2 linked regions of the Schizosaccharomyces pombe genome follow. The protein of the gene in region 2 binds, or shares a complex with, the protein of the main gene of each other region. Each region holds a gene or a part of one and is shown on either strand. Other genes may lie near its edges.

Region 1 (4,105 bases), on a different chromosome or scaffold from region 2:
GCTTTAAGGGATCATCTAGTTTTGTGGAAGGAGAAGAACTTTTTATTTTTGGAGGTCTGCCACGCTTCCGTTTGATTATAGGCTCCGATCCTTCGTCAATTGGTTTTGGTGGATATTTTCGAGGTCTTCCACGTCTGCGAGGAGCTTCATTGAGACGCAAAGGTGAAGGTGAAGGCGGAGCTAAAGTCGTAGTTGAAATATTATTATCCTGAAATAAAGTGACAGCGGCAATATCTTGCAATTTTGCTTGAGAGGCAGTTAATCCATTATTTGCATCATCATTCGTAGAATTGGGATACTGCTGATCATCATTACCACTTGATAAATTTTGAACATTTGAGGTCTCATTAGTTATGTTTGTCTGGTATTCATTTTCCTTATTTTCATAGATTGCTTCTGTGTCCAAATTCCCAAGATTTGTGAATGGGGATGAGCTCATATTAAAAACTTGAAGATGCACATCCCTATGGTTTTTATACACTGTAAAAATAATGATCCTCTAAATTTAGCCTTTTTATTAACAAATGCAATTAATTGGTCTCTTTTCTAATTATTTTTTTCAATTTCCTCTTGACTTGACAGATGCAGGGTGTTACTTCGATTCTTGGTAAAGGTGAGCAGTAAGATTGGCGTACAGCCTTAAGGACAGGGCCAGTATAGAAATATATTTTTGAAGCTGAAATAATGACTAGGTAATAGTAGTAATAATCTAAAACTATTTTAATCTTTTTCAAGCGATGCTGATGACTATAATTATTTACTTGTTGCATTTATTTGTAAAACCATACATGTATGAAGGGAATGAATTTCAACAGATTCATTAAATATTCATTTTTTATTAAAAAAAAATAGTTCGTTAAAATTAAGGAATGAAGTAAAACACTTCACTTTTGAAATGAGTAATTACCATAAAGCTTTGTAAATTCATACATAAAAGTAGTGAATAGCTGAAAGGAGTCTCAATAGCTATACAAGGTGCCTAAAATTCAAGAGAAAAAATCAAATCTGTTTTTGCTAGCTTTGGTCCAGCAGGTAATCGTACATTAATCAGTAAGTCAAGATATTAATGGTTTATCAAGAATATCCGAAAAATTAACCATATTTGTCGCTCCTTGAAGATACTCGTAAATCTAGTAATGCTTCATGAAGAACTCCTTCCTTAAACGCTTTTTTGAGGGTCTTTTTTTCATCGGTAGAAAGTTTTCTTCCAGCCCTGTAAAATTACAAAGTTAGAATGACGAAAGTAGAAGGGAAACCCCAATAAAATAGAATAGCATAACTTACATAGATTCTAATTGTCTGGAATGTATGGTTGGGTTGTCAAATAAAGAAGACTTGTTTTTCTTTAGGAAACGAGTTTGTACTCGAATTCTCCATTTGGCTTCAGGAATGACAGTGTCAGAGACACATGCAATGGCCTGATCTTGTTTTTCTCTACTTAATGTTAAATATTTTTTCGTTGATACACTTTTCCAAGCCCAAAATCCTGAGCCCAGATTCTCCGCTATCCATTGTTCCTGTGATCCTACCGCCTCTTGCGTACAATACAAGTCTCCAGACTTACTACATGACATGTATTTACCTAAACAGCTTTTCAATAGTATAGTATTGTTCAGTATGGATAACAAAAACACCTGGCGCGTCAATTCTGGCTCTAGCGAAACTTTGTCGAGGGGAAGAAGAACGCAACTTTCTTTAACTTCTTCAATTCCAAGAGATACACCAGCATCATCGTCTATTTTACTACATAAAGTTGTAAGTAAATTAGAAAAAAAGGTATAAGAATATTGAAGTTAAGCTTACTATATAACCGCTGGACCCTCAAGCTCATTTAGCTCGTTTGCGTCCGTCCAAAAAGGATCGTTTTCAGCTGATTCTAGAGAAGATTGAAGTGATTTTGTGTTCTTTTTTTTCTTCTTTTGACTGATTTCTTGTTAGTGATGAACAATATAATATGAATTACCACATTCGAGCAGTTATTTCATTTTATCTTACATCTTTTTGTCTCCCTTGAAAGTTAATCGCATAGACATTTTACCATCAGTAAATTACCAAGAATTTAAACGATTAAAAATCCTTAAAAATGATAATTGTTAATAATGGATAATGACTAAATATTTATGCGTGGTTTTCGAGGAAAAAGCAAGTAGTGGGAGTAGTGTTAAGGATTTGAACAGACCAGATGCTTCTTCGTGCTGAAATCCAATATGTTCTGAGGAATAGGCAAGGTACTCTTAGCAAAACAAAAGAGGTTCAAACGTTTTTAATAAGCAAGGAAATGCTTTATATGAATAGAAATGTTCTGTTGCTCACAATGTGACTTTTGTGACCCATGCTAATGTTGGTTTGTAAAATGGATGATTTGCATAACATTCTAATGGCTTGAGAAAGAAAAAAAATGTGCTTAATTGAATGATAATTTTGAATATAGATGAGAGAAGAAGTATGCACCGAAGACTAGCATTGTTCAATACCAAAAACATTCGTTGAAGGACGAGTCATATTCCAAAAAAGGAAGTCCATTGATGACAATAAGAATTTTTTTTTGCTTATTCAGTTGAAAGCTTACAAAAGATGAGCACTGTTTCAATTTACTTATTACTATGTGAATAAGTGTAGCCATAATACCTGCATATTAAAAACAGCACAAAAGTGGATGAAAATATTTGAGTGATAAAAAAACAATAGTATTAATTTTGTTATTTAATCTATTAACTTGATTATTGTTGTACAAATGAACTTGGAAATTCCAAAACATTCAAAAAAAAAAAAAAAAAAAAAAAAAAAACTAACTCGTTAGTTAATAAGGTTATTTTTTAACGACTTTTACATTCATCTAAACCAAATGCTGAAACATGAAAATTTTAATGTTTGTAATAAAATAAATATTTTTAAAAAATAAATAATAAATATAAGAATTTATTTTTATCTAATATACTAACCATATGCGTAATATGTTAGTTTCTTAATCACGGTGAATAAATTTCTTTTTTTTTTTTTTTTTTTTTTTTTCTTAAAAAATTTTTAATCAAAAAATTATTGCTGATGGCAAATAAAAACAATGGTTTAATTATTAATGCAAGTGCGCAATTTTTCATTATTGGTTTTGATATATAAATTGAGGCCACGTGAATATCTAGTAAATATGGAAAATCTACAATTTCGTTTTGGACACAATTAAGCAAACATTGGTAACAATTGAACGGATGTATGGACTTGATAAATAATATGATAAGCCTCAACCACATAAAAATAAAATTTAAATAAATAAATAAATAATATTAAGAATATACATATAAGGAATTTCAGCAATATAATTCAATAGCTTTCCATTAATATGCTCAGTGAATAAATATAAATATAAATATTTATCTGTTAACTTTTAGTTGCCAAACAATGTTTTAAACCACAAATTCAGCAATTAATGTTCTTCTTGAGCATAAGCTCGCAAATTATTATTTAATTTTTTTTTTAATTTAGCATATGCATTCATTATTCCGATATGGCCATTTCTTTGCAATGAAATTAGGTGGCACGCATTGGAGTCCAATTGGTGAAAGTAATGATTCATTAAAGTCCAAATGGGCTGAGTGCTAAATTTGCTCAGAATTGAATAATTAAATTAATTGTTGATTGTCACACAATCGCCATCGCTAGACAATACAATTCCATACTGATCGCAAAGCTGGTCAGGAACCCGACCATTCTAATATGGTTTATCTCAATCCATAGAAGGATGGGTAAAAATAGGTCAATATTAGAGCGCAATTTTAATTGTGCGAAACAACAAATGAAAGAAAAAGACTAAAGAAATAGAAAAAAATTGACTTAGTTATTACAACTTCTGCGATCTTGTAAACATTGATGTAACATAACATGCTGCCCTGATTTTACTATTACTATTACTCTAAGTACGACCTAATAATTGCATGTGGCCAGCTCCATGCGGTACTGTCTAGAAATCCTTAAAATAATATTGTTAGATATATTTAAAATATACAGCGATATCCATCCAAAAGAGAGCACAAAGGAAAGATCCCCGCTACCAGTCAGTTTGCCTTTGTTGAATTAGCAGCCTTCTCATTAAACCCCTTTTACGAATTTT
Region 2 (3,455 bases):
TTTTGGTACATTTTTTAGATTTCTCAGAATAATTTTAAAGATCCTGTAACCTCATTGATTACGCTGACAGGCCCAGGACCAATGCCCAAGACTGTAGCAGAACCAGATGCAATCTGGGTGCGACCAGCATCGTGTATAACCCTGGCACATAGCCCTAGAGACATTGCTTGGGCTTGCAGTAATTCCAACGTCTCTTCGGTTTGAGCTTGAAGAGTAATTTTAGCCTGTCCAGCATTTTCCCATATACGTACCAAATCGGGGTCCACCGCAGATGCGATTTTGTAGCAGGCTAAGGCTGCATGCGCACATTGAGCTGCTATTTTTCCTTTGGTCATGCCTAAATCCGTCCTAACGACCAATACCATTTTAGTTTGTCCTTCCGCCAATGCAAGCGCAGCCAAACTGCTGTTTCCTTTCAGCATATCTAAAAGTTCAGTTTCGGACTCGCTGTCTTCATCATTGCTAACAGAAACAGGACTTTCTTTTTCTGGGTTAGATGCTTTGTTGGCATTTTTGGAACTATAACCTCTTGATGCATCTGCTACACTGTATTTGCGTCCGATCATAAACCCCACTACAGCGCCGACAAGTACTGCTGCAGGAAAGGAGGAGATCATGAAATTTACGAAAGGTACTTTCATAACTACTATGAAATTATAATGTCAAAATAATTATGTGTGCGAAACTTAAGAGCTAAGAAACATAATATATACCGGCAACATCATTAAATTGATGTAGTGAAGCGCAACATACTCCTCTCAAAACTATTAATTTGTTTCACAAAATTAATAATGATGCATTCAGAGAAATTAATATTAAATTTCATTAAAAGAACGAAGAAGGATATCTCATATATGTGTTTGAAAAGTTTGACTGACCAGAAGCCAACTCATGGTACTTATTTAAATTTAGGCGTCTCCAATCTTCTATGCGCTTCTCCATTTTAACATGATAACTCGAAGAAAGAATGAGTAATCAAGAGTATACAAAAAATTATGTTTAGCGTTAACATTGAAGTGAGACTTTCTAACATCAATTGTAGCGACGACGCTTAGGGGAACTATCTCTTCCTCCATAGTCTGAAGAGTGAGAGGAGCGAGTAGGACCACGACCAAATCTTGACCCTCCTCCAGAAGATTTTCGAAATCCTCCTCGATAGCCACCACGAAATCCAGAGTCGCCACGAAATCGGGATCCCCGTTCCCGTCGCGGCCTTTCTTTTGTATAATGTCGCCCGCCAAGTCCACCACCTAACTTACGCGGTAGCCATCCTTTTACAGTTCTACCTCTTTCGACATCGACCACTATCCGCCTTCCATTTAGCATCAAACCAGCTGATGCTTTGTAAGCAACTTTTAAATCTCGTTCCCTTTCAAACACAACAAATGCATATCCCATTGATTTTCCTGTAACTTTATTACGAACAACTCGTATGCGCTCGATAGGCCCATATCGAGTAAATTCTCGTTCAATATCGCTTTCCTTGGTATCATAGCTTAACCGAGAAAGAAACATAGTTTTATATGGATCTCCAATGACATGGCGATCGTGATCAGGATCCCATACCTTAATCATGGACCGTAATCTTTCTCGTTGCTGTTTTTGTTTCTCGTCTCTAAGACGCAAACGCTTTTCTTCCAAGCTTTCAGTCGGGTGATATTGTTGATCGTGAGACTGCGCATATTTCAGATATTTTGCTATGCCTGAAACGCGAGGTGTTGAACGTTTCTCAGGAGGCACATCCATAGGAGGCAGATACCTCAATGGGGGACGTGGAGCAAACAATGCAAGTAGAGGAGCCGGTAATTTTTCAGCCATTCTATATGAATTGTTTTTTTTTATTTAGAAGTGTGTGGGTGCAATGCTGTGTAGGGTATATCCCAGTAAAGCGATATTGCCTGTATAATAAGTGCTATGTGGGGGCGTACAGTACAATTTTTTCGCTTATTATTAAAATATGTAAGCAAATTATATAGTCATATTTATTTGACATAAAAGGGAAGCAAATATGTATTTACCCTATGAATAAACCTAGTACACGCATGGGCTGCATCAAAAGGAAACCTCATAATTTTAAAGGACGAAAAGCCTCACCAGCTAATAAAAGTTAGGGAAATCCTTATTTCAACGTTGAATTCATGCATGATTAAAACGACAACAACAGAACATTGAGTAGACCGTTATTCTCAACAAAAAGTGATAGAAAAAAATGAAAAGAGCCACTAGATTAACTCAGTGTTCAACATTAACATCTAAGTCTCATTTAAAGTCAGTAGTCTTGATATTCATTAACAATTTGAATGTAAAACGAAAAATAAACATTAAAGGAATAACTTTAGAAGAGAATACCATATGTGTATTACACAGTCGTTCATTAGTTTCTAATGCAATGCCAATTAGAATAACAAATTAATGAAGACCATTGGAGTTAGAAGACACGACAGATTGTAAATATGACAGAAAATGATCATCAGACCCTTTGAAATCGGATTCCTGGGTATCTTCCTTTTTTTGATCTGCCAAAGGCGAACGTTTTAAAATCTTAACGAAACCAGGACTCATATCAACATGGTTTTTGTTGGTTTCCGAATTCTCCTTCTTCTTTCTATTTTTCAATTTTGATTGCGATAATTCGTTTCGTTTAGGAGGAACCTCAGACTTTTGTTGCGGAGATACTTTTAGTAAATCAAACTGATTAGCGGCTTCTAGTGGCTCATCATTTCTGGGAATACGAAGTGTCTTCTTTAACAAATCAGTGCTTTTGCTGTAGTTTTTGACCTCCAACTCCTTTACCTGACTGGAAGCTTTGCGTTCGTTATTCTGTGATTTATTTTGCAAATCGTTTGCAGGAGTAGGCAATCCAGATTTAAGAAGTGTAAGTAAACTTAACGAATCAGATGTCTTTTTCGGTGTTTCCTCTTTTGTTTCGGTTGCGGATGGATGTAAGAGAGCTTGAAGTAATTGTGCGGAGTGTACAGAATTGGCGTTAGGATTATTACAACTTTCACCATGCAAATTATCTGATATTTCCTCTCCTTGACTATTGTCAGAAAATTTCTTTGTCTCTAATGAATTAGGCGTCAAAAAAAGATTCGCTAATTGAACATTTGCCTCTTTGCTTAACGTAGAAGATGAGGGTGTCGTATCCTGCTGAGAGAGCATACTTAATAACCTTTTTGAATTTGAGTCTCCTTCCGAATTATATGATTGACCTGAGTTATCGGAATTTCGAGCTAAAAACTGAGTCTGAGATTGAAAAGGAGGAAGAGAAGAAATTTGTTGAGTCTGATGACCATTTACATAGGGAGAAGAAGATCCGTATGCTGGTTGCGGAGTTTTGCCTAAACCATAGGAACTAACGGAAGTCGAAGTGGGAGGATAAAAAACTTGATGATAAACAGTACTTGGCGAGGGCAATTCCATTGGAGAAGGCATGTCGCTAGCGGCAAATAAAT

What was found.
Region 1: usp101 (region 2) and frg1 share a complex: the UniProt entries of both Schizosaccharomyces pombe proteins name them as parts of the spliceosome.

Annotation. Positions count from the first base shown.
Region 1 is NC_003423.3:2,021,877-2,025,981, reverse strand, and holds frg1 (FRG1 family mRNA-processing protein), read right to left. Parts: upstream 2,134-4,105; 5' UTR 2,034-2,133; coding exon 1,996-2,033; exon of another isoform or gene 1,924-1,995; coding exon 1,804-1,923; exon of another isoform or gene 1,744-1,803; coding exon 1,285-1,743; intron 1,214-1,284; coding exon 1,093-1,213; 3' UTR 795-1,092; downstream 1-794. Other genes in the region: origin recognition complex subunit Orc4, read right to left, coding at 1-439. UniProt on the Schizosaccharomyces pombe protein: May have a role in processing of pre-rRNA or in the assembly of rRNA into ribosomal subunits. May be involved in pre-mRNA splicing.
Region 2 is NC_003424.3:2,460,317-2,463,771, forward strand, and holds usp101 (U1 snRNP-associated protein Usp101), read right to left. Parts: upstream 1,867-3,455; 5' UTR 1,819-1,866; coding exon 1,033-1,818; 3' UTR 835-1,032; downstream 1-834. Other genes in the region: pth2 (aminoacyl-tRNA hydrolase), read right to left, coding at 24-641; mRNA-decapping complex catalytic subunit Dcp2, read right to left, coding at 2,410-3,455. UniProt on the Schizosaccharomyces pombe protein: Involved in nuclear mRNA splicing. Essential for growth.